Xenopus tropicalis: one gene and its partners. The protein of the gene in region 1 interacts with the protein of each later gene in a pairwise test. Links are inferred from orthologs where the notes say so. Each region holds a gene or a part of one and is shown in the gene's direction. Other genes may lie near its edges.

Region 1 (4,947 bases):
GTCATAAATGAGCCAGTTAACACTAGTCCCCCATGGGGCTTTTTTGCCTGTTTGGACAATCTTCAGACTGGGGTCAACATCATTTTCCCAATGGCTAGCAACTAAACCCCTACAGTACAGGGCTGCTAAGTGGTAAATGCGTAGTAGTGTAACTAGAGGTTTAAAGTAATAGTAACACTTAGTAACTCAGGTCTTTGCAAAATTCAATTGTTCATGAAAATGTGCTTACATTTGAGTTCTGATCCTGTGTGGTCACCATGGTATAAGCTAACAACACCATTTAACTGCACTGCCAGATTCTTTCTGTCAGTCAAGCATTTAAAGGACATGTAAAGCCTACATTTGCCTACAATGTATATCAGTTGGGCACGTCTCCCCCACCCAAATAGCATTAGTTGTACTGCATATATCTCCTCCGTTTGCCAGCACCATCACATGTTCCTAAAGCGAATAGCAGCACACAGGCAGAACTATCTCTGATAAAGTTCTGATGTGTTTGAACTGAGCTCAGGAGAGAAGGTTGGGAGAAAAAAACTGAAGCAGACAGCTAGAGCTGAGTTTCTATGGGAACCAGCAATGCCATCTCTTCACTGGCTGCTAGATTAGGGGGCATGTTTAGTAATCTGATCTTACAACAACTGAGCATGCCCACAAGCCAACAGCCAAAGCAAATTCCTGAGGGAGGGGGCCGAGTGGGTTACAGGAGGAGATGCAAATCTAAGTGATTAAGGAGATGTTGCAGCCTTACTACCGGTATTAACCTCTGGACAACCAGTGTGGCAGGTATTGAGAGATTTCAAAGAGGCTGTTCACTGATTACATTTTTGTGTGTGGAGTTTACATGTCCTTTAATTTCCGCCTTACATGCAAGCCCAGAGGGATCATAAGAACGTGGTGCTTCTCTCTCCCTGTCTTCCGTTATCCAATAGCATTCTCACGAATTTTTTGAAACCCTCCGAAGTTCATATTGAAATCTGTGCAGGTAGCAATTTTTCGGCTTCATTCGGGCATTTTTGCATGCATGTGACGTCACGTCTGCAAGTGAGCACCGGTGCGTGATGTCACTTCCATGCAGCAATACTGATGAACGAATAATTATAATTTCAAGATGGCGAACCACAGGTGCTGCCTTCTGCTTGCCTTTTAACTTTCCACTCCTCTGGAGTGGGACTAGAAAAAAATAAATGAACCACAGAGGCAGGAAATTGAAAAATAAAGTGGGGAAATAAAAAGCTTTTGGGCAAGGATATACAAAGAGAGTATCAGGGCCTAACACATGAAGAAAACAAGTTGGGGAAGTGGAATACAATTTGTAGTTGGGCAGGGATAAGAAAAGGAGTACCATACTAACTGTTGTAGGAATTAGGAGGTTAGGGTATAGGATCTGAGTATATTGGGAATTTTATCTAAAAATCTTTTAGATAGTAGCATTGGTAGGAAGGTGGAGTACAGATCATTCTTTAAATGTGGGAGTGGGTTAAATCGGCTATACAGATGTATACTTCTCTCCCAAGAATGAATTTTCTAAAATCTAGCTTTTCCCATTCATTAACTTGGGTTTAAACATTACAAGGCCATGCAAATATGCCACACCAAAGTATGTTTATACATGCTAGTATAATCTTGAAGCAGTTCATATTAAACCTTACAGAAGAGAAAAAAACAAACACAAATATGCATCAGCAGCTTTTAGTGACTAGCATGCTACTCTTGCTATACTGCATAGCTATGGCTTTCCCTCTCTACCCAAACACAATTTGTGATACACCCACTGAGCTACTGATTGGTCAAGTGTCGGAACAAACACTCGTTACATATCAAGGGAAGGGGCGGGGCTTCTCGGCTCTTGTTTCAAAGTGTAGGTGCACTTGAACTTTGTACTTATACAGCAGCGGCGATGGCTGCCACACGGACTCTGTCACATACAGTGGCTGTCATCAAAATCAACAATCCTCCTGTTAATGCGCTGAGGTAAGACGTTGAGCTGGATTCGTTGTGGGAAGGGACCTCAGCTATAGGTGTTTGTGGTGGACTGGAATCAATACACCATGAAGTACAAACCAGCCTTTTCTCGACCTTTGTATCTAAGTGTAGCTGAACTGTAACACCTTAAATGCCACTGATCATTGTAGAATTCTGGGAGTTGTAGTCCCACAGTAGCTATGAATACAGATTAAACACTCAAAATCCTAATTTGCAAGTTTAAGGCAAGTGCAATGCTCTGGTTTGGAATGCAAAATTGAGCATGCTTAGATAACTCAGAATTTATGATGAAACTAACCAAAATAGACACCACTTTGCATGTGTATGGGTGCATTCTGCACAAGGGATTGTATATGCCACTTGGAGAGTGCCTGCAATTACACTCTTAATCTGGATAAAAAACATTGTGATTTGCATCTGAAAATGGCACTTTGCACAGCGCTTTATGCTTGCGCCCTTCTGAAAGCTTCTAATAGCCTTATAATTGGCTCCTATTTTGCATCCCTCCCTCTGTTTCCCCAGTACCTTCCAGTGCTCTAGAAGAGTAATTCTATAAGGTGACCGGTATCTCCATACTGCAGCCCTCCACTGCTTGCACTGCATTACCAGCATTTGGCTGTCCATTTTCATGGACAGTATTTTTCTGGGATGTGCATGGTAAAGAAAGTGCAGTTCTGAGAAATATAGAGTAATTTAGAAATTGCTGGTAGCTGAATTATTTATCAGCATATAAACTGGGCAATATATATTAATAGACAAAGTGGCAACTTTACCTGAATATGCTCTAAGGTAACTTGCAGTAAATATCTCTTTGGCAGGAAATGAACAAGAAATATGAAATGGTGAAATCTAGGCTTAAGGTGGCCATGCACGGGCCGATTCTAGCTGCCAATATCGGTCCCTTAGACCGATTCGGCAGCTTATCAGCCCATGTAGGGGCACCAACGACGGGCCTGCCCGACCGACATCTGGCCTGAAATCGGTCAGATATCGATCGGGCAGGTTAAAAAATTTAGTCTGATCAGGGACCGCATCGGCTAGTTGATGTGGTCCCCAAACCAACTGCGCCCATTACCATCGTTCTTATGCCCAGGGCCAAACGACCGAATTAGCCTAAATTCACCCAGTATAGGTGGGGATATCAGAGAAGATCCGCTTGCTTGGTGACTTCGCCAAGCGAGCGGATCTTAACGTGTATGGCCACCTTTAATGTGTATTTCCCTGTAAAGAGGCAATGTATAGATGAAGCTGGTTTTAAAGATGCACTGTGTTCAGTAGTAACTTATAAGAAATGCCTGCTCCATCTGTAATATTGTAGTCATAATCTTGAGAGATGCTAGGGCTCAATAATATCCTTTTGTAAAGCTGGACTAAATATTGCCATTTCATTAAAATATGGCTACTGGGTGAACTGGTTCACTGATAAATAATTCTTTTTAATATGGTGGCTCTATCACACAACACACAAAAGAACTGAAGTCTGCTAGCTAAAGGTGCGTTGGTTTTTGTACAATTTGTGTGTTTCCTTGAGAATATGTTTGGGCTAATAAATCAACAAAAGAGGGACCATTTGCTTTTATTTGCTACCATATATTGTGCTTATTTGTCTGCCATAGCACTCCTGTCTGTCAGGCACTTATCAAGGAATTGGCAGAGGTCAAAAAGGACCCATCGGTAGAGGCCATTGTCCTGTGTGGAGCAAATGGAAAATTCAGTGCAGGTATGGTTGTGTTTATTTTTCTGTCACTGGATGGATCTGTGCTATCATTTTCTTTTTAAAATAGGTGATTCCATATTCTAATACACTCTTTACTGCCCCAGGAGCAGACATCCGTGAGTTTAGTTCTGCAGCTCGGAGAACCGTATCTTTAGAAGATATAAATGCTGAAATAGAAAGCACCACGAAGCCTGTGGTGGCTGCCATTGAAGGAGTGGCTCTCGGAGGAGGTCTGGAATTAGCATTATCGTGCCACTATCGTGTGGCACATATAAAGGTGCAGTCACTTTAGCATCTACTAAGATGTTAAGATCAGCGGGACAGGCGTCCATCTGGGCGCAGTCAGCATAGCAACAAAACTATTTGGCTTTGTCTGGTTCTTACCATTTCAGTTTACCTGCTCTGCCACTAAGCTGTGGCAGGTTACAAACAACAGTGAATAAAAGCATATAACAGCAATAGTCAAACTGTGGTAATGAGCTCCAGTATTAGTTTTGGTGGAGTTGTTGTTTGGAAGTGATACCTGGCACTTTCCCTGTCATAAGAACACTGGAAATAATATTAGGTCCTCATCTGTGTGAATTTCCCCTTAAAGTGGCCTTTTGGTATCTGATATGTACAAGGATTATGAATAACTGAATAGTAATGGGCAAACTATTTGATAATTTTGCTCCTACATGCGGCTACTCAGCACTGTGCCAAACTGTTCCAATAGAAACCCCTGGTTGTATGCTGCTGCTTTAAAAATAAAGTTTAATTGCACAAAGTTCATAACAGAATTACAGATAATTTTCTCTTGTTGGCTTACAAGTGCTATGCCTTGGGGAGGAAACCATAAAGTTTGTCTCTTCAAATAATGCAGTCCCAGAGGGCAGGTGAAACAAACATTTTTAGGCCGTAGGCTTTCACTGTAAAAGGTGAAAGTAGCAAACCACAACCCTCTTGGATGTGGCTTTTTCCTGGTCTAGATGGATTTGAGGCAGCAGCAGAAGTGTTATGTAATATATATCAGAAATGGAAGGTATATGAGTGTTAACATCTTCATATATAGTTAAAATACATCTTGATCTCTCTTTACAGACTGTTATGGGTCTCCCGGAGGTATTAATTGGAATTCTCCCAGCAGCTGGAGGAACCCAACGCCTGCCTCGCTTAATAGGCATTCCTGCTGCTCTGGATATTATTGTCCGTGGTACGCACTTTCTTTCTCCCTTTACACACAGAATAGTTGTTGTCACCATATAAAG
Region 2 (5,284 bases), on another chromosome or scaffold:
GCACATGGCTGCATTCCCTTTTATATCTTAAAGTGATACTGACACGAAAAAACTACTTTTCAAAATATGAATATACATAAAAAGCTACCTATAGGTCGTGTTGATCGTTTTTTGCTGACAGGTTTGGTTTTGTAAGTAATTGGCATAAGCCAAGCTTTAAGCTAAGCTTTGCCAAATGGGGAACCAAACCAAAATGCCAAGCGTCAAAAGATCTTAGCACTATGTGCTTGATCCCACTTTCATTCTTGTCATCCTCAATAACACCTTGTGTCTCATACCCATTCTCTTTTAAATTGTAAGCTCTTTTAAGGCAGCACTATCTTTCCTCTTGTATCGCTTGTATCATTTGTATTTTTGTATATAATCTGTATGTTCAGTTTTTACACCCATTGATTGAACAAACCTGCAAAATATGTTTTCTGGTCATGTCATATTGCTGTTATGCCATCTGGTGCCCCAGAGTCAGGATCTCAGTAGGTCGTACCTACAGAGCTCATTCTAATTTAAACAACTAAGACACTACAGCCATTCTTCAAAAATAGAAACTTGAACAAACCCACCGCCTAGAGTAGAATTCAGAAAAAGGCTGCCAAATACAGTGTAAGTTTCTCCCCAAAAGTGGTCTTGATTGATTAAGCAAAAGACAGAAGCTATCATTTGTCTCTTACTTTGGACAAGATTAATAGCATTATAAAAGACAAATTCCAAACTTTTTAATTGTCCCTCTGTGTGTGGGACTGTGACTTTTCCTATCTATTCCTACAGTGCCAAATGTTAGGTTAAATGTTCCATTTCTTAATGTGTCAGAAAAAGCGCTTTCTGGCACTGTGAGGATAAAAAGCCCACATTTCCGTGCATGTTTTGGAGAGCATTCTGGAAAAAGCCAAAGACTTTGGATCTTTCTAGTGCTCTGCAAATGAAGATACAAATGAAGAAATGGGAAAAGCTGAGGGTGAATTGTGGAGGCTAATGGTGGAGGGAGCAGAGGACAGATCTTGCTAGGCTAGAGGAGGCTGTGGTGATTCATGGAGGGCTGAATGGCTAATGGAGAAGAGAACTAAGAGAGCATGAAGAGGCACACTGAGGGGGGATAAAGAAGAAGCTACTAATGGATTGTGGTGGGTTGAGGGAGGAGGGATCTGAGGGCAGATCTTACTGGGTTAAGGGAAAATGGGGTATGGGGCACATCATGGATGTAGGAGAGAGCAGAGGTGGATGATGGAGGGCTGAGGGCAGATCAATGAGGGCTCTAGAAGGATGAAGCTTGAGAAGGGCTATGGGAGGATAGAGGAGAAGACTAAGGGCATTACCAGGCTCAAATGGAATTACACCTAAAGCACACAAAACTCTTAACATAATGGACAAGTAAATATTTGGACTAAGGTCTCTCTAACAGTCCAGGAGCAGACATCTCACAACTTGCCGGTCTGCTTTACAGTTAGTTGGCAGTATTGTAATGGGTGTAAGGGCTATAATAGTTTTGGGGTTTATAACTGCTGAGGGCTAGTGCCTGCTACAAGGCCCCAATGAAATTAGTTGCGATCAGAGCCTTAAACTGCACCACACTGCCATAAAATCTGACAAGCCCCTTTGTGTCCCCGAAACATTATATGGTTTGCTACTATTAAAAATCAGCAGGGTTTATCCTGCTTAAATAAGTGCTGTTGCTCTTTGTGTGTCTGACACTGATATTGCAACCAGGGGAATACGGTGTGTTTTTGTAAAATGGGCATGGTATTTTGGTGCAGTAGACTTTTTCTCTAGTTGCCTTCATGGCAATATTTATATTCCATTAGATATCATGCATCTTGTTTTCAAAGGGTAATGTATATATCAAGTTGCCATGTGTTACCAAATTACTGACATCTGACAAGTAATTCCCATTCAAAGCTGAGAACTGTTTGTTTGTTTTTTACCTACTAAGGGTGCTGCTTATAGCACCCCAAACAGTTTTGTATGCCAGCCTAAATGTGCTCAGATACTTATGTGGGCCAGTTTTTCATGTCTAAGACTAGGTGGCTGAGGTTGGTAGATAATAACTTGGGCCAATAATGAAAAAGAGCTCTCCATTGTTATTAACATAAGAACTTTTTTTTCTATTTTTCAGGCAATATTTCTTTACATACAATGTTTCACGCTCTTTGGAGATGAAAGGGCTTCCCGTCAAACACAATAACATCCGCAGAACTGAACGCAAATGGGAACACGTCACTCAAAACCCGTACAATCCGGCTTTCTGATTTGCTGACCTACGAGCAGAGGGGCGGGCCAAAGATTTGTTTCCGATTCAGCCTCTGTCTCCTTCTCTTCATGATCATGATGGCAGCCGGCGCGGAAGAACCTTTCCCTTACCATGGGTTGTTGCCCAAGAAAGAGACCGGCGCTGCGGGCTTCCTGACCCGGTACCCGCAGTATGACGGCCGCGGAGTCCTGATAGCGATATTAGACACTGGGGTGGACCCCGGGGCTCCAGGCATGCAGGTATACACAAAAATGAAAGTGTATTCATACACTGGGTACATTGTTATTGTGTGAGATACATAGCCTGCCATCTTCCAGCCGGAGAAATACCGACCTATAGCGCAAGGATAGGGACTGTAGAGTAACGGGAGACTTGCAGGAAGGACTGTCTGACTAACTCATCAGTACTGGCCTATTTGTGTCCGTCACGTATTAGGCTTTCTCTATTGTAGCAGAATTGAAATACACAAATCCGCTGCATGTTTTGTACCCTCTGGGTTATCATTGATAGGAATGATCTATGCTTCTGAGGTGTGCTAAAGGGAAAGTATCCATCCCAAAGTCAGACAGATCAGGTTTTTAATCTGTGCCCTGTATTAGCTGCCACCAAGGATGACTTAGCACTGTCAGGACTTCCTGGCATTGGTTGCTTTTTTACTTTCGTTTCCTTGGCAGGAGGAGTACAGAGATTGGAGGGCACCCAGTCCACTAAACTAACTGTAGTTGATGCTTAAATGTTCTTTTTTTTTTGTTTTTACACACAGATCTTTTTTTTTGTGTATTAGTTTTTGAGATGTAATGGCTTTATTATTGTAATTTCTCAACCTAACATTTGCATGCATTTTGCCTATGCTTTTTGTCAGTAGTGCAGTGCTGACAAACAGCATAGTCACTGATATCAGCCAATCAGAACAGATGAGATCTGTCAGCGACTCACAGCAAGATAGTTGCAAAAAAAAAAAAATATTAAAGGGGTGGTTCACCTTTATGTTAACTTTTAGTATGTTACAGAATGGCCTATTCATAGCAACATAGCAATCGTCCTTCAATTTTATTTTATTTTTACGGTTTAATTATATGTTAATTAAATATATGCTTTCCTCTTCTACATTTTTCCAGCTTTTGAATGGGGTCACTGACCCCAGTAGTCAAAAAAACTATTGCTTTGTGAGCTTACAATTTTATTATCTTTCTTTTCAGTCCCTCTCCTATTCATAGTCCAGTCACGCATTCAAACCACTGCCTGGTTGCTTAGGTAAGCAAGAACCTAGCAACCAGTTACTAATATTCCAAATGGAAGCACTGCTGAACAAAAAAAGCTAAAAAAACTGATAAACCACATACATGCATACTAAAAGTTAATTCTAAGGTGAACGACCCTTTTAATACAGCTGCAGCTGAGCTCGTAGGTCTAAAGTGTGTAAAAAGAAGTTCATAAATCAGATATCCATCACCTGTGTAAAATCTGTTTCTTTAATTCGTACTTCTTGGCTTGAGTCCCTTAGCCATACCATGATTGCTACACAGGTATTGGTGGTGTGGTTTGCTCTAATATTCTAGATTCCTCCCACATTTCAAAAAGTACAGAAAGGAAGGTAAATTGGTTCCTAACAAAATTGACCACTGTAAGTGAATGTCTTTGACTGGTGTAAAATATCGTGAAATATATAAATAAAGGAGGATAATAGAGAGCACAACTCCTGCCAACCTGATTATTGGCGGTTTGTGTCTGTCAGCAGTGTCATGCCATGTTGGCCTGAGGGATGCCATATTTTATAATAAGGACATAGTTGTACTAATCTGTTTGTAAGGAGAAGAAGATTCTGGGTGTGAAAATCATCAACAGCAATAACTGTTGATATAGTGTTTTGCTCAGACTGAACAGTCTGGCTTTTTCAGAACACCCACGTATTATTTGTGTTGATTGTAGTGTGGTAGAAAAGAATACATTTACAATTACTCTATTGTTGCTTTACTTCTGTACATGTAAAGCACTGTTGGGGCAAGTATGAATGCTATTCAGTATATTCTTTTAGGAGTACTAATAATATTACTTCTGTGTCCAATTCTTTGTTTTATCCTGTGTTTTTTGTTTTTTTTAATAGGGTAGCCTGAGCTTTTTATAGAATCTTTCCTATGCCTGTAAATGAGCGTATTCACTAAAATAAACACTGCATAAATGACAAGGCGTGAATGGAAATAGATATGTGTTGTAGGCAGCTTTGCTTTCCTTGCTGCTGTAATACGACCTGGCTTGTATCAGTTTAAAAACAGTTTTCACGGTGATTCTTGGAGTTTCATTTTTGCAGTACTGTTTTACTAAGAATCATAAAGCAGATTAAAACATTATTGATTCTTGGAGTCTGATCTCAGTAGCGAAGTGACTGATCTTCAGTCAGATATATACAGTAGAACCCCCATTTTATGTTTTCAGGGGACGAGAAAAAATTGATTTAAAATCCAGGAAAATTTCAAATCATGGAAAAGCATTATGCATTATATATTTGTGGGACCACAAAAAACATTCATGCCTGTTACTACACACCCGCACACACGCGGCAGCATATACATTTGTCAGCCTAGAAAACATTAGTGTGAAATAATCCATATTTATGACTGCAACTCCTGCCCTTCTTTAAGTAAAGACTTCCCAGTGCATTGTTGACAATAGTTTACACTTATAGGAATCAGAAGTAAAAGAGATTGGTTCTAAAGTGAGAGTTTTTACTAGGTTTAATTGTGTGATTTATTTGTTTTTTAAAACACAGCCCACATTTAGCTGTATTTTGGTGCAAGTTGGCCTGACACATACTTGGGTCCATGGTCGGACTGGCCCACTGGAACACCAGAAGAAATGCTGGTGGGCCCCAGTCCTTTTAGGCCCTGCTTGTCTGGCACAAAGCTTTTCATGTATATGTAATTTAAGAGTGAGGCAATAGTGCAGCCAAATAGACTGGTATTAAATCAAGCGAGAATGCCTGCATCTCTGCTCTTTAATTCCCATCTGTTGATTACCACATAATATTGAGATTAAAGCTTATTT
Region 3 (4,931 bases), on another chromosome or scaffold:
TCTTGCATGAACGAGCACATGCGCATCGTTGGGGGGGGAGCATCTAGTATAACGTGCAGACGGCGTAGCACAGGAAATCAGCGGTGGGGGTTAGAGATCCCGGACTAGAAGTAGGCAACAGAGGTACTTGCCTAGTGCCCTTTCACTGTTGTGCCCTAGGCAGGTGCCTCTTCTGCCTACCCCTAGTTCCAGCCCTGTCCGCTGCCTTCCACTACCTGAATGTGTGTGCATTGACAGGTACAGGACCAGCATGTACAGAGCATATTTCAGCCTGAAAATGAAAACCTTAGAGCAGGGATACCCAACCTTTTTTTTACTCGTGAGGCCACTACAAAAGTGTGAAAAAAAGTTTTTTAGGGATAGCAAAAAAGGATTGTGATTAGCTACATTAGATGTGCACCTACTGTACATTGAGACCCCCAGGTCCCAAGCATTCTGGATAACAGGTCCCAAACCTGTACAATGTAGAAATGCTTTGGTCAATGCACCCCAGAGATTCTGGTTCAATATCAGTTATAGCAATGATTACTTTGATTAATATGTATATGTGTCTAGGCTCACTGATAACCTCTGTATAGCGAGAATCGGAAAGAACTGCCCATATGCAAAAAACAATTCAAGGACCCACTGTGGTCCCCTCTCTCCTTTTGTTTTCTTTGCTGTTTTTTAACATTCATCTACAGTTTCATGCTTTGCAAGTTTAAAAGATCTCTGCTTTGGAAAAATCTAGTTCATTGTTAATAGGAAGCCGTCAGCAAAGGTTACAAACAAATAAATAGTGAAACTTGACCTTGCTCTCAGTTACATGTTTGCTGGTTGAGGGACAAGAGAGAATATTGGAACATGACACTCCTTTGTCAGAAGAAAGTGGGGTTTAAGGTTTCCTGTGTCCTCTCAGCCAAGCCCTACTCTATTTCTGATTCAAGTAATAGGTCATGGGAGCATTATGTGAAATGGTAATAGGGAAACTGAAGAAAACTGTTCTTGAAATGTAAATATTATAATATAGATACACATCAACATATGTATATACATAGATAGATGGTCAGATAGACAGTAAATTAAGCAAGCAATTGATGATTATATTAAAAAAAAGCTCTCTGTATTCTGTTAGCTCACAGAGCTGAAGCAACATTTAAATATAAATTAAGACAAATATAATTCTATAGATATACATTTGGTTTTGATGTAAAAATTGAATTTGAGCTTAAATGTATATATTATGTTGTATTTATGTAATGTGTATTATATTATTCCCTGTCTCCTCTATTAATGTATTGTTTGAAATGTACAGAGCTAAATATATAAAAGTAGCACTGTATAAATATACATACACAAAGATGCCTACATTATTTTTATTTTGCAGTTGGCAGTATATGCATATAAGAACTCATTATAACAACTCTGTTTATATTATTATTATCATTTGAATGGGCAGGGGTTGTGCTGTGTATCTGTGCACCTTTTTAAAGATTTGCATGTCTTCGAAGGCTTGAATTTATTGAGACACTGGAGAAGAGCCCAAGAGGCTTGTTTGTAAGCTGAAGACATTTGGTGAGCCAGTGTGTACTCCGGTTTCCTAGGAAGGGATTAGGGACAGTCTTTGTTGATATCTGTGAGAGGAGCTACAGAGGATGAGCTAAAGAAAGAAAGCCAGAGACCTGCTAGTTTTGTTCTGCCCTTCCATTCCAAGAAGCATATACCAGCTAATAATAATCCTAAAGAAAACTGGTAAGATTTTCATTGTTGCTGTTGTTTGCATGAGCTTATTTTATAGAAATGCATTATATGTGGGAGGAAAAAAATAATTAGTGGTTGTGGCTGATAGGGTCCTAGGTATTCTCTTTAAGAACAGATTGTTATATGAGTATGATTTATTTAAAAACAGCACTAAGCCATAGCTCTGCATAGAATCCTGTAAGCATCTAACTTCTGAAGTGCCAGCCTGCTGGTACCAGATGTCATAGACACATCACATTTAGACATGTTTGCCAATGGATTTCTATCCCTGTAGTAGCTGATTGTACAAGAATGGTTACCTTTAAACTAATGCTGCATGCCTCTTTTCTATTATAAAGTATGCTGTCTGGATAAGCAGCTGTTTGCTTGCAGAAACTTCTAGGAAATCTAAATATGGAAAGTATCAGTGTTTATAAAAATGGAGCATGGGCTGTTTGTCTGAGTATGCTTAAGCCTTCTATATATTCTTACTTGCTTGCAATTATGGCACATCAGAGGGATTGTCCTCTTAAAACTTTTAATAAAAATACACCTTCTTGTGTCCTTATTAACTGGACACAGTTCTAGGCATTTCCCTCTAGGTGCAGATGAAATTGCCCATGTCCTTAAACTTTCTACATGTGGCATTCTGTATATGTTTGCAGTTTTATGTAGTTACCAAATTAAATTCTCTTTCAGTGGGTCTGTATCCATGGTTCTGGGTGCATAGTTAAAACCTTTTATTTTTGGTTAAAGGGTTAAAGCCAGTGCTATGAGTATCACATAAAGCAAGTGAATACCTATTTTGATTTGTATGAATAGGAACTATCTTGGCTTGCTCTGATGATTCCAAATAACAACCATAACAAAGGAACCGCTTACAGATGCTGATTATTATTGCAGCAAACAAAAAAAGTTAAATTTGTGGCTAGCAACATGGCAGTCTCTTTAGCTACAGAATGCAATAAATATAGTATATTTCCCTCAGTTTGAGGATCTAGCCACTGATACAAGGCATACACCTGGCAAACAGTAACCACCTGTATTGCCGTCCATGAACTTTTAGGGTGAAGACACACAGGTACTAAGGTACTTAGTAGCAGCTACTTTTTTACAGCTATTAAACACCAGAAAATCCCCTGCCATAGACAATACTTCGAATTGCCTCTGCTAAAACATACATAGAGACAATTATCAGTAAATGATCTGCATTGTCTATTTTTGTACCCATGATGAGTAGCTGCTACTAGTGGCTCCATGTTTCTTGACCCTTATGGAAACCACTTGTTACTGCAGGAAATTTTAGTCCAGAAAATCACAAAAGCATTTTGGAACCAAACACTGGCTGCAAAAGCAGCGACAGGTTTAGAGGAGGCGGATGGGTAGTTTCAGACATGTTTTTCCATCAGAGAATCAGTCTGCCTTAATGTTGGCTTTTTGAGATGTTTGGGCTCACTGGAATTGAAAAAAGTCTTGTCAGACTGCAAGCAATATCTTTTCCTTCCAGTGCTAAGAGGGGTTAGAAGATATAAAGGGGATGTATGACTGCATGTGTGGCTTTGCTAAAATGGATGCAAATGTTGAATGTATTGACTTTAACCATTAAAGGAAAAGTAACACTAACATTTTTAAGTAAAAAATCTATTCTACCCTGCCCCAATAATTGCCCTATTCTGCAAACCATTGATTAATTTGAATTCTTTATTAAAAAATACCTGTTTAAACTTGACTTACGGTCATTTGAAAAAAGGCAATATGGCGATGCAGGGGAAGCATCCACTATGTGGCAATCGATTGATCGATCCTAGCCTGACTCTTTCCTATACAGAAGGAAGGCTAGGCCCAATCAATCGATTGCCGCATAGTGGATGCTTCCCCTGCATCACTGTATCACCTTGTATTTTCTAATAAACCATTCAAATTAATAAATGGTTTGCAGAATAGGGCAATAATTGGGGCAGGGTAGAATAGATTTTTAACTTGAAAATTTTTAGTGTTACTTTTCCTTTAAAGGTACTGGTGTCTAAACATACCTTGCATATGTTCAATCTGGTCTAAAGAATCATGTGCAAGTACAGCTATTGTGCTGGGGAATCGGGAAGCTACTACCACATTGAATATAGTGGTAGCTCCTAGGGTTTTGAAGTGAAGAGCATCAATAGAACCCAACCAGACTTGCACCAAAATAATTACATAGTAATGGTGATTTAATGCAGCACCCCTAGAAATCATGTAATTAGCCAACTGTTAGCCAAACCTTACACTAAATTTGTGAAAACACAAATGAACGCGTTTTGATGCTTGAATTCTGTGGGAAATGCCTCATTAGGGCTCTGGCACATGGGGAGATTAGTCGCCTGCGACAAATCTCCCTGTTCGCGGGCAACTAATCTCCCCGGATTGCCATCCCACCGGCGACAATGTCGCCGGTGGGATGGCACATGCTGCGCAGGCGATTTTGGCAAATCGCCCAAGTTGCCTCGAGAGGCTTTTTCGGCGATTTGCCGAAATCTCGCTGCCGCGTGTGCCATCCCACCGGTGACTTCGCCGGTGGCATGGCAGGTGATGGCAACTCGGGGAGATTAGTCGCCCGCGAACAGGGAGATTTGTCACGGGCGACTAATCTCTCCATGTGCCAGAGCCCTTATGGTTAAAAAAGATGGTGATTTGTGTCAGATATTTGCATACTACACTTGTATGTAAATCCCGTTATAAAGAGATGGATGTGCTTAGTATAAATAAACAGGCGCACTTTCCTTTTAGTTCTCTTTGATCTTGTATCTACCTAATTGCTTGTATGTAGATGAGTTCATTTTATATATACATCTGGAATATAGCAAGCAGGAATGGCAGGCTACGCTAGATTTAGAGGAATATGTTTACTTTTTTAGCTTTCTGAAGGCAAACTTAATGGAAACGTCACTAGTTCTATTTCATTCTGTTTTATCTAATGGTTCTCAGGCAAAGTTGTCAGTTTGCATAAACTAACAAGGGTCAGATTAGGGCCATTTCTGTGCATACGTCTAACCATGGGAATCATTAGGATTAAAGAAAGGCATTCCACTGCAGGGAATTTTTTTACTAAATAGTAAGAACCATAAATAAATAGACAAGGAGTCTCCTTATTTCGAAATATTCCTAGTGCTTTAGGACTGTCTTTTACAGAACCCTATAAATGCATTCTAAAACACAAATGAACACCCCTTGAGTAT
Region 4 (5,199 bases), on another chromosome or scaffold:
TCAAACAAATCTTGAGAGAAAATGGTTAAACCATTTATTTTGAAGTTTTTAGTCATATATTAGAACTTTACCCAATCACCAGGAGTCCCACCTAAGAGAACTGATATACCAATAGCAATTAAGCTCAGATCAGGCCTTATATGCAAGGAGTCATCCCAGGTGCTCAGGTATAAGGTTCCAGGGTGAATAGCCATAGGTGGGGACCATAAAAAGGGGATACGCCAGCTTTGTGTTTAGTTTCCCCCAAAAGGCACTCAGCCCCAGAAAAGTAAGATATATTGATACCCTTATGTAGGGGAAGGGATTTAGTTTTATTAACAACATCTCTTATGGGAGGCTTTGGCATAGCTGGAAGATACTGAGCCCCACAGGAAAATCATTTAAGGGTCCCTGTAAACTATCTAAATACTATAATGAAATTCATATGTTAGTGCCCCACTTGGCCTCCTATACCTTGTCTATATAGCTGCACTCCTGCAGGGATCTCTCCACTAGGCACTAGTCTTGGGTAACTTTCTTCTCGGGTCCATGCTGCCTAGAGATTTGTATCCGCAACTGTCAGAACAATAAAAGAGAAGGGAGAATTGAACTGAATTGATATTTTGTAATGAAAGTATATTGGAGGTAGGTTTCTGGAGGTAAGGAGCCTGAAAGGGGATTTTATTTTTGACTTTAGATCCCCTTTAGGATCAGATCCACCTTTTCAGGTCACATATTCCCAGTATTTGTCTGTATATAATTAAAAAAGTCTCTTCTCACATACCATTTTTCTTGACTGTGTCATATGATATAGTTGTGTCAGTAAATAAAAAAATATTTTTAACAAAGAAGTATCATATATATGTAATTGCAGGGGCTAAGTATCAGTGTCAGAATGAGATGCCAGGTGCACACTGCCAAAACTTTAATTCCTCCTCTCCTCCTTCAAACTCTTTATTATCCTAGTCTCTTTTCTCTACATACTAACGTTTATTCATCCATTTACCAAGCTTCCATGTTCCCATCCAGAAATAGGCTAAATAGTTAGAAGCAAGAGGGCCCACTGACACCTGGGCCCACAGGGAGTTTCCCTGGTATCCTGGTGGGCCAGTCTGGGACTGGTAGGTATAATTAAATATGAACTTTGGACAGTGGATGCTTGCATTGTTGTACCAGTGCAACTTTGCCTCAAAAATGTGTCCAGAAGGGGGAAGGGGGGGCCTGCTGCATGCCCTGCACCTGGGCCTGGGGAGGTATAGTTCCGCTACTGTTTGGAAGCATAAATCAGTTTGGTGTAATGATCTCTTGTACCTGTTATCAGTGTTGGACTGGAATACCAGGGGCCCACCAGAAAACCTTAGAACATGGGCCCACTCTCCAAAATATTATTCTCCTATTACATGCTAGCATCTATTTTTCCATCTATTATTTGTATTTGTTCCCATTCAGAAATAGGGAATGACCATGAAACAGGCCAAATGGTTTGGAGCAGGAGGGCCTACTGACCCCTGGGCCCACCGGGAGTTTCCCTGGTATCCTGGTGGGTCAGTCTGACACTGCCTGTTATAAACTTAAAATATACCAGAGAATGCATATCACCACATAATTTCACATTTAAATATTCCTTTTTATCTGTACTTCTTCTATTTGCTCCAGCTCCCTATTTTGGTCCATCACACTAAAACGAATCATTTATTAGTTCTTTGACCTGGTTAGTAATTTGTATTGGATAATGTATGTGAAAGCAGGCTACTCAGCCTGGAGCTTTGCAGGCAATAGTAACATAGTGCTGTGAGAGGCAGATCACTTGGCACACCACACAGCTATAACCCTCTATGGAGCAGTTTGTATCATAGCCACGGTTTATTACAGCACATTCATACTACTTGTGCTTGTGGTAGGTTCCTAAAGGAAAGAGCGCAATATATCCCCCTTCTGGTCTCCAGGGGTAACTACAGGTGTGAGCGGCGCTCTGAGACAAGGGGTAAGGTAATGTTCGTCCATGTGATACAGGCCCGGATGTTTCCTAGCTCGTTTTCCCGGGGATAGCGCCTACTTGTCCCTCCTCCTTACTCTCGTAGAGATGTGACTACGGAGTCCCAGGGTTGGTTATACTTGTCCCTGACCGCGTTTTGCATGGCTCCAATTTGATGGTTTCCCAGGGTTACACACGTTTGTCCCGCGTCTGGCCTCCACGGGCCTGGCTATGTTTGTCCTGCCGCTGGTGCAGTGACGGGCTGCTGTATTTAGGGAGCTTCAGGGGAGCAGGGAAGTAATACGGTATGTTTCAGGGGTGGGGTTTATAGCGCCTTTGTGAGCAGTGCACTTATCAGAACTCACAAACCTGTGTCTAGTCTGTGGCCTTCTAGCTAGTTTGGGACTACAGTTCCCAGCATCCTTCACATACAGCCGAACTACAGCGGTAGAGTCACTATTTACAGTAACGGACACCAGTAGCAACTATGTACCATAAGGCCACAGGCTGTATTGATTGGGTAATGGGTGTGTGGGCCTGGCTGGGAAGGGAACAGGTTATCGGATAGCATTTTGTTATATGTACTTGTATTTTGGGCCTTATTGCTCCTTGTCCTCCCTCAGCCCTGTCCCACTGCCTGATCGCTAGGGGAGACTAAGGTACAAGCTCGCAGGGGGACACATAATAATGGGACACATAGCCCAGTAAGGAATGAGGGATAACTGGGGCAGTGCTGGGCATCACTTTCCTACCATCACTCCTGCCATGTAAATGGCTGCTAACAGATATGGAATTGGCTGCCCTTTATATGTTATAATGTTTCTCTGATGCAGATACATGAAATCCATCATTAGCTGTGACCAAACAAAGCCTCACACGGGATATTGTGTTCAGGGGAGACAGTATGTAGCCATGACAGGTGCTTAAACCAGTGATTTCAGGCAGATATTTTAGTATGTGAGTGACTTTGGGCATTTTAAACATGTTTCTTCGGCTGATAAAAAATATGTGGTGATCAAAGTGCAGAAAACATGCCTTTTTTGAAGGGTGAGCGCTTACGAGAGCCTGAGGATTGTCCAGCAGACAGTCACACTGTTCTACCTGGTGCCCAGCACTCTATATACTGAGCTTTTACATAAGTGCAGTGATGCCAAAGTAAAGACGGCTTGTGGGCACATAGCAGGGACTATTTCTCTGCACCTTGCTCAGAAAAACTGTTATACATTTGCAGCCCTGCACTGGTAATTTATTTAAAGAAGTAAAAGTGTATACAGTCCCTAATGTTGTGGCCCAGGCTTTTGGGTGTCTTGTAAAAATCTTATTTATAGTCTGATTATCAAGAGAGCTTGTTGGGTTGCAGCATATACACAAATATCCCTGGTGAAGCCTCCTTGGTTGTTTAAAGATGTTGCATCATTGACAACCCTGCATATTAGACTTAGGTACAATTATAATATTAGCTAGGCTTGTGCTCTCCAAAAATGTTTATTAATTCTGAAAAGTATAACTATAAACACCAATATTACTCCATGTGATATCTACACCAGGGGACAGGAGCCTAGTGTGGTACTACATGCCTGTCAGTGCCTGGCAGGATGGATCTTGTCATGAAAATGCTTGTGTGCACACAGACAGGAAGATGTCTTTCTGTCAGCCAGGGTTTGAGTAGATTGTCTTATTCTCTAAAAGAAAAAAACCCTGGTGTAGCATTAATTGTATAGTTTCATTTTTTAATGGGAAAAAGCAGTAGTTGCAGTATTAAACAGAGGGTTATTTTAGTGTATTGTATAGGTGCATTGACTCCAAAAATGAATAAATAAAAAAGTTGCCCTGCATGTTTCATGCCTTTCATGAACACTACGACGTAGTGCCCTTGAGCAGTATGAAACCATTTGCACTGTATCAATTTACTTCTAAAATATTTAAAATATTTTTTTGTATTTTGGAATTCTTGCATCCTGTTCCAAAATAAGGTAGCCACACGTAAAGATGGCCACATGTGCCAGATTCAGCTGCCCATATCAGTCCCTTAGAGCGATTCAGCAGCTTATTTGCCAGTGTATAGGCACCATCGACAGGCCTTCCCAAACGGCATCTGACCTGAACCAGTGGCACCTATGCCTGCCATTTTAATTTGATTGTTTGGCCCTAGTAAGTGGGCATATCGGGAAAAGATCCTCTTGCTTTATGACATTGACAAGCAAGCAGACCTTACAGTGTATGGCTACCTTTACGAAACACAGTTTTGTGAAGGTAAACTACCACTTGAAGTCTGCCCCCCAGTGCATGTATGTATATATATAATATATTATATCAAATTATTCTTTATTTAGCGCCAACATATTCCATAACTATCCACACCTGTCCCTGCCCTAGCGGAGCTTACAACTTAAGGTGCATATAGCATTCACACACGATCATTTTTCGATCAGAAGCCATTTATGATAAATGTTTTTTCAGTGTGGGAGGAAACACAATCATTGATAACGCATTAAAACTCATAGTACCCTCACTGGAATCAAACCTATTACCCCAGCACTCCAAGAAAGCAATGCTAACAGTTACACCACTGGTTCTTCATCAAGTACATGCATTTTGTCACTGTGCACCCCTTTATACTATACAGCCTTTTTTTACATAACAATTTCAGTATGATCTGACAAATTATTGAATTATCGTATGGGTGGTGTGCACCCAACAATCGTACATCTGCTGTTCTTTCCTCCGACATTGGTCAGAGAATTGATCGGACAGGTTTATACATTTTTGTCTTTAAACAGTGAAATTTGATGGGATGGACAGATTTCGATCCCTTAACAATTTAGAAACTGTGCATGTGTGGGGCGGTGTTGAGATCACAAAATGATGACAAGTGTCATCAAACAGCAGTAAATATCTATGGAGTCTCAAAAGAGAAAGGAATCTCACAGATATAAATTAAATATTGTTTACTTTTTTTTACATAATGTACAGCAACAATCAAAAACTGAAAAAAATACAACATAGATTGTCCATAGGACATTACAAAATTGTTTGCAGGACCAAGCAAGCAGCTACCACAGTTTTTCCTTTCTTTTTTAACTTTTAGCATATACGTCACATCCTTTTCCGGTTTGGGCTTCAACTAGACAATATCACTTGAAATGTTCCTTTTCGTTGATGGACAGATCATATGCGATTGTTTTATAATAAGCATGGTTGTACATTAATAAAAAATCGTTTACAAATCTACACGTGTATGGCCA
Region 5 (5,039 bases), on another chromosome or scaffold:
TCCCTGTCTCTGTGCCCCCCCCCTACTGGTATTCCCGTCTCTGTGGCCCCCCCCCCCCCACTGGTATTCCCTGTCTCTGTGCCCCCCCACTGGTATTCCCTGTCTCTGTGCCCCCCCACTGGTGGTCCCTCTCTCTGGGGCCCCCGCACTGGTGTTCCCTCTCTCTGGGCCCCCCTACTGGTTTGGAACATTTTAATGGGCTGAGAAGTGAGGCTTTAGATTATGGCCAGTATATAGATTGGCGTATCAGATAAACCCCAAAACAAAGGTGGCACAACTGCCAGCTCTCGTAATCACTGTGCTCCTGCCAGATGGGAATGTTTAGAAATGACAAAGTGACAGGAGGGATGTGAGGAGCCTGTATGTACATAGCTGTGTAGATTGTAGTTGCCCTTAGCAGCTAGTGACAGATAAGTTTTATGCCAGTCTATAAGGCTGGGACCTAAATAGCAGTAAATCAGTTTTTATTTCAAAGTTAAACCCTTATATAATATCTTCCTTATCTGTAAACCAGAGATTGAAGGCGGGGGTAGCAATGGGTTGTTCATACAGCCTTATTTATATAAACTTTGGGGTCTGTGGAACAAAACTGGCTTGATAGAAGTTTAGTTAAGCGATTGCAGTCACTGGGGGGTGTCTAACATTCAGCCCCAGTGATTTAGCTCCTTTAATGAGCATTTGGAAAGATCCCGCAGGGTGAGCTGCTGAAAATAGAATCTATCAATATTGGAAATAGACTGAGGCAGCGATTGTATCAGCGTAGTGCGCTTTGTGCATAAGTCGCAAAACTAGAGGGTCAGGCTTGCTGTCTTGGGGTGTATAGGGTTCAGTATATCAGGGGACCCCTAATTCTAAAGGTGGCCATACACGGGCCGATTGTAGCTGCCGATATCGATCCCTTAGACCAATTTGGCAGCTTATCGGCCCGTGTATGGGCAGCAACGACTGGCCTGTCCAACCGACGTCTGGCCTGATATCGGCCAGATATCGATCGGGCAGGTTAAAAAATTCAGTAGGCTTGGGGACTGTTGATGCAACTCCATTGAACCAACTGCGTCGGTTACCATCCTTATAATTCGATCATTTGGCCCCCCGATATGGCCCACCTGTGACGTGTATGGCCACCATAAGAGCTAGGCTGATCTGATAGGGAACTGAAGCCTTTCTTCAGTTGTGTAAATGCAGGGCTGTGATTGGCTATCCCTCACCTGCTGTGCTTTTGGCAGAGACTGTTAGAACACGCCCACCCCTCACTCCAATAAAGGAGCTATTTATAAAGATAATGTGTACCTAATGGTACGTACGGATATTAAAGCCGAGTTAGAGAGTAATAGGGATGAGCAGTTTAGGCTCCGGCCGCTGTGTCTCAGGAGCACAATCATTTATAATGATTTGGGGGGGAAAAGCCCGGTGTGACTTGCACTTCTCTATATATAGAAAGGATGGATATAGCAACGTGCAGAATAACATTAGCACCTCTCTGTTCCTTTGTCACCATCCCCGCTCCCAATATAGGGACTTTGTGCCGTCATTCCCATCTAATAAGCAGCGTCTGCACATCTGTCTTACAGAAGCCGGCCGGAGAGAGAAGTGTATGCGTCCCTCGGCAGTGAAGCATTTGCTTACGGCAGGTCAATCCTTTGAACAGATGGATAATGGAGACTGGGGGTACATGGTACGTGCTGCATTGGTTGGAGTAGGGGCCCCCTTGGTTTGGCTTTTTCCTGCTGCGGGTGCTGTGAGTAACGTTCTTTCCTTACATTCCAGATGACTGATCCGGTCACACTTAACGTAGGCGGCCATGTCTACACTACCTCGCTCTCCACCCTGACACGTTATCCAGACTCCATGCTGGGGGCCATGTTCCGGGGGGATTTCCCCACAGCTCGGGACTCCCAGGGGAACTACTTCATTGACCGAGACGGAGCCCTTTTCCGGTACATCCTAAACTTCTTACGGACATCGGAACTGACTTTGCCGGTCGACTTTAAAGAGTTCGATTTGCTTCGCAAAGAAGCCGATTTTTACCAGATTGAGCCTTTGATACAATGTCTCAACGACCCCAAACCCTTGTACCCCACGGACACCTTTGAGGAAGTAGTGGAACTGTCCAGCACCAGGAAGCTCTCCAAGTATTCCAACCCGGTGGCGGTCATCATAACGCAGCTCACCATCACCACCAAGGTGCACGCCCTGCTGGAAGGAATCGCCAACCATTTCACCAAGTGGAACAAACACATGATGGACACGCGGGACTGCCAGGTCTCCTTCACGTTCGGACCGTGCGATTACCACCAGGAGGTTGCCCTCCGCGTGCATCTCATGGAATACATCACCAAGCAAGGCTTCACCATCCGGAATACCCGGGTGCACCACATGAGCGAGCGCGCCAACGAAAACACCGTCGAGCACAACTGGACTTTCTGCCGACTGGCTCGTAAGACGGACGACTGATGCCTGTGGCGCCGTGGCCAACCTGGACGAGGGAACGCAGGAGATGCAGTGTTACCTTGTGACTTTGTGCGCTGTTTTTTGTTTTATTTTCTATTTGTACGACTATTTATTAACAGCCAATCTGATTGAATCGTTCGCAGTGTGATGTAACCCGACATTCCCGGCTTATCCACGGTGTATGCATGTACCTGTATGGAGGAGACTTGTTGTTCTAATAATGCTTTAATGTTAAATATACAACCCTGCTAGTGGGCCCATTGTGCTCAGTACAGTGGTGACAGAACTCTACGCATGGCTGCGCAGCACTGGAGAGATTCACAAATCCAGCGTTATGAGCTTGGCCTTTTGTGTTATTCTCTATGGGGCTGTTCTATTGCTTGCTGTGTGCAGCATTGTGAGCCATTGTGCTATAATGTAACCTTTGGGTAACACTACAGTCAGGCTATGTGTCCAATACTAATAACAGCTCCTAATTCCGAGGTGTACTGCAGGCTGCACTGATTTCTGTACAGCCACACATATGCACCTAAATAACCTAGTATCTAGCTGTGCAGAATTTGGATTTTATTCATGTACAATTATTATTATGGATTTGAATCAAAATGGAACCCAATAACTAATAGTCGAATTTTAGTTTGAGTATAACTGAGAATACAGTATTAACTCATGCTGTAAAGGCGCATTGCAAAGGGGTTTGGATTCAGGCTTGGGATTCAGAATAGGCCTCCAGTACACAGAGGCCCAAACAGCCCCAATAAATAGTGACTGTCTATGGCACCTTACAGCAACCCCTCTGGCATTTGCCAGAACCCACAGATTGCCATTCCGGGCTGGGTAGATCAGCTGATAACCAGAACCAAATCCCTTAATTTAATAATGATAGAGAAGCACCATGCATTTTTAAAAAGTGCTGTAGTTTATATGGTAACCTTTTTTAATTATGACTGAGCTGCCCTCTCCCTCAGTTCTATATAACTAAACTCCTTTTTAGTATGGGAGGGTGCTGTACAGGGTCCAGTAGGGCCCACATTTACAGAGCACACCAGATAAGCTATTTAGGGTACCATAGTTTTAGTAGTCAAGTGGTGATATACAATAGTCCGCGCATTTATGGCTCCCCACGCACCCACAGGATGGAAACATCCAAAAACTGGACTTTTGCTACCAAATAATTTTTTATTTTCAGAACCGACAGGTCAGATATATTGTATAAACGTATATCCACCTCAGGAGCCTATATTGCAATATTATTGTAGAAAAAAAAAATTAAGGTTTTAATGATAGAAGACACCTGTAATCATGGGAAAAATAGTGAATGGGATCCAGAAGGCATTTTCACTATATTTCTTTATTATATATCCATATAAATATGGATATTTCCAGTTACTGTACTTTGGAATACACCTCAGACCCAGCTCTTATGGAGTTTTTAAGGGGAACATGACCTTAAAATTAGGGATAACTGACAGTAGTGCAGTTGGTCTTTGTGTGCAGCTCTTTCATGTATGGCAGTTAAGATGTTACTTGGTTTCTAAGGTCACACACCCTGGCAACAAACGTAGGAGAGGTCCTGAAAAAAAGATTCTAGTCATACATTTATTGGGACATTTTAGGCCACTTCCTGACTACCCCAGTCAAATGCAGTTCTGCCCATATTCCCTCCCTCCCCCACTTCACTGTAGGCCCCAAAGGACGGTAATTACTTTGTGAATTAAGCATTTGCCAATGTATAGCTTGTTATCCCACACACTTTGCTTTGGGAATGGAGATCAGTATTACAGAGAAGCAAAGTCATTTGTACAAACTGTTTGTTTCTATGCAGACAAGGAATTCTGACCAAATATACGTTTAGTGTCACCATAGAGCTGTGTGCTGCTTGTCTATCATTTTGTCGTTGGATCATTATTATACTGCATTTTGGAACATTTTTTGTCCGTGTCTCCTTGTTATGCCCAGTTATGCCCCCAGTTTTTTGTTTTTTTTTTAACTTCAGGCGTTTATTGAATTCACAATATCAATATGTACAGTACTTGAATAACAGTATTGCAATAATAGTTACACATTAGTAGTATCATAGGCATTTATTACATGACATAGCATAGCACATTCTATTATGGTTTAACTCATTTGAGTCAGGACTGACTCGGCCCAAACATATGTGTGATATATTTACTGTCGGTCTGGCCCTGGGATAACAGGACTCTTGGCAGGTATGTAATTACATTCGCAACCCCATAATAATAGGGTAAATAGTTATTTTCTAACCTTTATATGTAGGGTCTGGTTGAGTTACAACTTGTTATTGATGTCATGTTTACAGAGCTTTTCCCCTCTTAACAAAATGTGGGATCTGCCTTTTTGTGCAGTGATTAAAGGAGAAGTAAAGCCTAACTAAAGAAGTAGGCTAGAAATGTTATACATTATGTTTGAGCTTTTGTACCAGCCCAAGGCAACCTCAGCCCTTTAGCAGATCTGTGCCAACAAAGATGCCCCCAGTAGCCCCCCCCATCTTCTTTTGTACTGATTACTTTGTGCAGTTACTGAGCTTAGGGACCGATGTACAATATACTGTATATAGAATATAA
Region 6 (5,005 bases), on another chromosome or scaffold:
GTCTGTGCAAAAGTGAAGGATCAGCAGAGGGATGATTCTGAGGTGAATCTCTTCAGCTGCACATTTTTTGTTAACTATGTATATAGTACAAGGTTATATGCCACACATACTACTAGGGACTACTTATAGCTGCACCATTCTCATCATTGCCATCATCATTTCACTATATGGGTGAAGACACATGGAACTACTAGTAGCAGCTACTTGTCACAGCTACAAAACTGAAAATGCTGATTATTTAATAATAATTGGCTCTAAGTGTGTTTTAGCAGAGGCAATTCTAGTATTATCTATGGCAGGGTATTCTCTGGCATTTTGTAGCTGTGACAAGTAGCTGCTACTAAGTAGCTCCATGTGTCTTCACCCTAACCAGGCACTTGAACATGCAGTATGGGATTAATGTAAAAAGCTGAACAGCATGTAAGGCAAACCACATAGATTTAATATTGCAGTGCAGACTGCCATCATAGATAACAGAACTTCTCTGTGACTTAAATCTAATTAAGGAAGTGCATGAAAAGGGGTTTGCATTGAAAGCAGTAGTTCTCTGTGGTTGCAATTTATCATAATTTTCCTCTATTTACAATTAGGTATGGCCCACCTGGTTATGTTGTGGATTTACATTCTGCTGTGTGATGTTGCCCCTCCTGAACCCCAAAATCGACTCCCTTCCCCAGTAGAAGCAGACAGTCAAGAGAACTATCAGCTCAAATTGGGCAGATCAGTATAGGTAAGTGTACATTCTGCACTTATAGTTTATGTTTCTGAACAGATTTATACAGAGACCATCCCAGTAACGTACCATGAACTTTGTTTCACCATAACAACATTTTCTGCATGAAGCCAAACACATGACTGTCACTATACAGGATATTCTGCAAGTAAGCTTCCCTCTAACAACTGCTGCAATTCCTAAGCCATTCCCTCTCTATATGTGTAATGTCTATTCCAATTTGTTCCGAACATCTTTAATGAATCTGTCTTTATAATCTGGCAATGTACCCACCAAGCAGCCCTTGCCTTCAGGGATTGTTCTTTAGAAAGTTCTGTTTAAGGTAATGTGACATGCAAGACTGAGCTCACTTCCCAGCAGTCCCACCCTGAATGTATTCCTTCCATCTTAGCCCTAAAGGGAGAATGCTCAAGCACCTGAGGCTTCAGAGAATACAAAATAAAGCATTTCCCAGCAAGGTACCTAAAGGGGGTATGTAGTAGAACCACGCCCTTTAATATCCTGTCTATAGGCAATCCATGCATTTGTGTTATATCTATATAGGGTTTAGCCCATGTATCACTTAGCACTTTATTTACAAAACTCCCTGGGCTTGGAATTCGACCAGATCCCACTCTAATTTTAGATAAAGAAATAAAAATAAAGTTTCAAGGATGTAATGTGTTCCTATTGGGTATACTGTAGGAAAATGCACACCCTCTGTATAAGGACAATGAAACACCTAAGGAAAAAAACATGACCTTAAAAGGTATTTCCATCCTTCCCTTTGGCCATAGTGGCACCACGCTCGCCTGCTATTGTTAACTACGCTTCCCAGCAACCTCCGCTACCCCAGTAATCCGTATCTCACTGTCCCACCGCATAAGAACTTGAGAGTTAGAAATCCCCGGACTACGATGTTTCCCTGTATTTTACAATACATTTTAGAGAAATGTTTCAAGTAATAGTAACATATATGTGCAAGGGTAGCGGCTTTCCTGCTCTAACACGGCCAGGCCTTACACGCCTCCCTATTGCTCATAAGCGCATGTAACTTCAGGGGTTCCGGGTGGACGTAGGGCCAGGACTCCGGTCCCGCCTCTTCTCCCAACCAAGCAACCAATGGCGAGGCGTGTTTCTGAAAGATGCCCATATTTGGCGATCTTCTGTCTGTGCGGCAGCAGGCGGGGCTGGAAGCCTGTGACGTTAAATAGAGATAACGGCCGCTACTGGGTTCTCATTCAGCCGGTGGCAGCGGACTTGACAGCTACTTCCCGCTCTTTGTAACAACTTGCCAGCTTTGCATTTCTCCTCTTAAGGAAACCTCCAGCACCAAGGTAAGACCTTAGACAATGTCTTACGGCTGTGTGTGGGTGGTGGGCGGAAGAAGTCTTATGGGGTACCGTTGGCCGGGATAGCGTGTGGTAGTGTTCTGTCTATATATTGTTACATGACCGTATTGTCTGTGGCTTGGATATTTGTAAGTCTCCAGTAATGCACGCTTAACTTGTTCTCCTAAAAAGCTGCTGTTGATCTTAATGTGTTACAATGCCCTGCGATATTCTATTTTAAAATAGGCATATTCTATATACATATCTGGCCCTTGTCATACTTCTGGTTACCCTGGGTGCCGAATGATGTTAATATGGCTATGTACAGAACTATATGGCTCTGGTGTCAGTCGCCGTTCGGAGGTGGCTTCCCTCCCTTATGGCTAGAAGTTTGCGCGGGTTTCCCTGCGATAGCATGACGGGCTGCACCATTCTAAAGGGTAGGGGTGAAGCTATTTCTCGCCTCCCCCCCCCAGTTACTTGTATGAGTCACCCCACCTCTGTTGGCCACGCCCACGAGTTTGAAGCTTGTAGCTTTTTGTTTCAGCGGCAGGGCGTGGCTGCTGCATTCTGCTTCCATATTAGGGCAAGAGCTCTGTGATTGGCTGAGCGAGCAGTCAGGGCAGATTTAAACATCACACCAGTTCTAGGGGTGGGGCTGCTGTTCATTAGCCGGTACCGGCTCCTGCGTTGTATAAAGTAAGGGCGGGGGTTAACACTAGGGCGAGTCAGAGAAATCTATTCTATTATGTTTATTTATAACTATATTAAATTAAAGATTCTGCAGTATGGGCAGCTGTTCTTAAATACAAATAACTTGGGTGATTGTGTGCTTTACATCCTGTCATTTTTGTAAATGTTCTATATTGCTTGGATAGCTACACTGTATTGTTAGCCTGACAGCTGAAGTCTTGTAGCCTTTTTGTGTTTTTTTTTTTTTTTTTTTTGTGGTGTGCCCTTTCCCTATTGAGGGGAATAACAGGGCGTGACTGGCTGTACCACTTGCCTCAAGTCTTTAGCCTATGAAAAGGGCTGCCTTAGCCTTTCATTAAACGATTATCTAATCATAGAAGTGTTGATTGTGTTACTATTAATGCTGTTAATCAGCTGTGGGATATTCCCTGTTACCTTGTACAGCTTTCAGTGTACAAACTTTCCACATAATTCATGATTAATCTTTTTACTTAAGAAACAAGTGTTTAACGCTTGTCGCTCATGGTAGGGTGGGGCTGAAGTGGATTAAACGGTTACTATGCCTTACTGTTGGTACACTTGCCTACAAATGGCTTAGCTGTGTACGGAGTGAGGTTGTGGCTACTGACTGAGATAAATAGCCAGTCCCTTATTTTGCTTATGATGATCTGTTTGTTTACCACACAGAAATAAAATGGATGAGGAAATTGCAGCACTCGTCGTTGACAATGGCTCTGGAATGTGCAAAGCCGGCTTTGCTGGAGATGATGCTCCCCGTGCTGTGTTCCCCTCTATTGTTGGACGCCCAAGACACCAGGTATATATAAGTGATGCTTTAATCCTTCATCCAGCAAATGCAGCTTAAATTTTTTTTCTTGGGCTGACTTACTGTTCTTTTTGTTTTAGGGTGTAATGGTTGGTATGGGCCAGAAGGACAGCTATGTAGGTGATGAAGCCCAAAGCAAGAGGGGTATCCTTACCCTTAAGTATCCAATTGAACACGGAATTGTTACAAACTGGGATGATATGGAGAAGATTTGGCATCACACCTTCTACAATGAGCTTCGTGTAGCCCCTGAAGAGCACCCAGTCCTGCTTACAGAAGCTCCCCTGAACCCCAAAGCCAACAGAGAAAAGATGACACAGGTTTGTTTTCAGTGGAAGGCCCAAATACACTTATTTTGGGGTAGTTCTTGTACACTTCATTCTTATTTCTCAAACTCCAATTTTCTTTCAATATTTTCAGGGCTCTGTACCTCTCCTGGCATTTCCCTCCTGAAGTCTCAGGTTTCTGTTTCATTGGTTTATTTCTGCTTGTTCTGTTTTTCTACACATCTATCTCTTTGTTTTGCATGATGGCATGCTGGCATGGTTTGGGGTTCTAACTCGTCTTGATTTTTAGAATTAACATTGTTCTCATGTATCCCTTAGATCATGTTTGAGACTTTCAACACCCCAGCTATGTATGTCGCCATTCAAGCTGTGCTGTCTCTGTATGCCTCTGGTCGTACCACTGGTATCGTGATGGACTCTGGAGATGGTGTCACCCACACAGTACCCATTTATGAAGGTTATGCCTTGCCCCATGCTATCCTGCGTCTGGACTTGGCTGGTCGTGACCTGACAGACTACCTCATGAAAATCCTGACCGAAAGAGGCTACAGCTTCACCACCACAGCTGAGAGAGAAATTGTGCGTGACATCAAGGAGAAACTCTGCTATGTTGCTCTTGACTTTGAACAAGAGATGGCAACTGCTGCATCCTCCTCATCCTTGGAAAAGAGCTACGAACTGCCTGATGGACAAGTAATTACAATTGGAAATGAGAGGTTTAGATGCCCAGAGGCACTCTTCCAGCCTTCCTTCCTGGGTGGGTATCTGTTAAGACGTTGCATTTCATCTGACTAATAACTCTTCCTCCTGAACATCTGGTCTAGGTAGTAGGTCCTGTTTCCACAGTACACTGTATAGTTGCTAAAGGTGACTAAAGTGACTAAAGTGAACCAAGTATAAGTAAGAATGGAACTTTAGCAATTAACTTTTTTTTTTACACATAGGTATGGAATCATGTGGCATCCATGAAACTACATTCAACTCAATCATGAAGTGTGATGTTGACATCCGTAAGGACCTGTATGCCAACACTGTCCTGTCCGGAGGTACCACAATGTATCCTGGTATTGCTGACAGAATGCAGAAGGAAATCACTGCCTTGGCCCCCAGCACCATGAAAATTAAGGTGAGTTAACAAACTGGTTACTATTGTCTC

What was found.
Region 2: the proteins of ehhadh (region 1) and tpp2 interact in binary tests that used the Homo sapiens proteins (3 or more experiments, as listed by UniProt). The two-hybrid records come from large-scale screens. The link is inferred for Xenopus tropicalis from reciprocal best matches to the Homo sapiens genes EHHADH and TPP2.
Region 3: the proteins of ehhadh (region 1) and mid1 interact in binary tests that used the Homo sapiens proteins (3 or more experiments, as listed by UniProt). The two-hybrid records come from large-scale screens. The link is inferred for Xenopus tropicalis from reciprocal best matches to the Homo sapiens genes EHHADH and MID1.
Region 4: the proteins of ehhadh (region 1) and zbtb9 interact in binary tests that used the Homo sapiens proteins (3 or more experiments, as listed by UniProt). The two-hybrid records come from large-scale screens. The link is inferred for Xenopus tropicalis from reciprocal best matches to the Homo sapiens genes EHHADH and ZBTB9.
Region 5: the proteins of ehhadh (region 1) and kctd6 interact in binary tests that used the Homo sapiens proteins (3 or more experiments, as listed by UniProt). The two-hybrid records come from large-scale screens. The link is inferred for Xenopus tropicalis from reciprocal best matches to the Homo sapiens genes EHHADH and KCTD6.
Region 6: the proteins of ehhadh (region 1) and actg1 interact in binary tests that used the Homo sapiens proteins (3 or more experiments, as listed by UniProt). The two-hybrid records come from large-scale screens. The link is inferred for Xenopus tropicalis from reciprocal best matches to the Homo sapiens genes EHHADH and ACTG1.

What each region holds. Positions count from the first base shown.
Region 1 is NC_030685.2:54,569,902-54,574,848, forward strand, and holds the start of ehhadh (peroxisomal bifunctional enzyme), read left to right. Parts: upstream 1-1,836; 5' UTR 1,837-1,897; coding exon 1,898-1,971; intron 1,972-3,599; coding exon 3,600-3,703; intron 3,704-3,804; coding exon 3,805-3,977; intron 3,978-4,780; coding exon 4,781-4,892; intron 4,893-4,947. UniProt on the Homo sapiens protein: Peroxisomal trifunctional enzyme possessing 2-enoyl-CoA hydratase, 3-hydroxyacyl-CoA dehydrogenase, and delta 3, delta 2-enoyl-CoA isomerase activities. Catalyzes two of the four reactions of the long chain fatty acids peroxisomal beta-oxidation pathway.
Region 2 is NC_030678.2:119,712,307-119,717,590, reverse strand, and holds the start of tpp2 (tripeptidyl-peptidase 2), read left to right. Parts: upstream 1-2,256; 5' UTR 2,257-2,310; coding exon 2,311-2,481; intron 2,482-5,284. UniProt on the Homo sapiens protein: Cytosolic tripeptidyl-peptidase that releases N-terminal tripeptides from polypeptides and is a component of the proteolytic cascade acting downstream of the 26S proteasome in the ubiquitin-proteasome pathway.
Region 3 is NC_030678.2:58,457,276-58,462,206, forward strand, and holds the start of mid1 (E3 ubiquitin-protein ligase Midline-1), read left to right. Parts: upstream 1-1,641; 5' UTR 1,642-1,731; intron 1,732-4,931. UniProt on the Homo sapiens protein: Has E3 ubiquitin ligase activity towards IGBP1, promoting its monoubiquitination, which results in deprotection of the catalytic subunit of protein phosphatase PP2A, and its subsequent degradation by polyubiquitination.
Region 4 is NC_030684.2:71,795,144-71,800,342, reverse strand, and holds the start of zbtb9 (zinc finger and BTB domain-containing protein 9), read left to right. Parts: upstream 1-1,903; 5' UTR 1,904-1,963; intron 1,964-1,986; exon of another isoform or gene 1,987-2,083; intron 2,084-2,089; exon of another isoform or gene 2,090-2,259; intron 2,260-5,199. UniProt on the Homo sapiens protein: May be involved in transcriptional regulation.
Region 5 is NC_030680.2:148,539,935-148,544,973, forward strand, and holds kctd6 (BTB/POZ domain-containing protein KCTD6), read left to right. Parts: upstream 1-1,648; coding exon 1,649-1,675; intron 1,676-1,767; coding exon 1,768-2,454; 3' UTR 2,455-4,377; downstream 4,378-5,039. UniProt on the Homo sapiens protein: Probable substrate-specific adapter of a BCR (BTB-CUL3-RBX1) E3 ubiquitin-protein ligase complex mediating the ubiquitination and subsequent proteasomal degradation of target proteins.
Region 6 is NC_030686.2:28,628,152-28,633,156, reverse strand, and holds the start of actg1 (actin, cytoplasmic 2), read left to right. Parts: upstream 1-1,964; 5' UTR 1,965-2,049; intron 2,050-3,423; 5' UTR 3,424-3,430; coding exon 3,431-3,553; intron 3,554-3,642; coding exon 3,643-3,882; intron 3,883-4,167; coding exon 4,168-4,606; intron 4,607-4,793; coding exon 4,794-4,975; intron 4,976-5,005. UniProt on the Homo sapiens protein: Actins are highly conserved proteins that are involved in various types of cell motility and are ubiquitously expressed in all eukaryotic cells.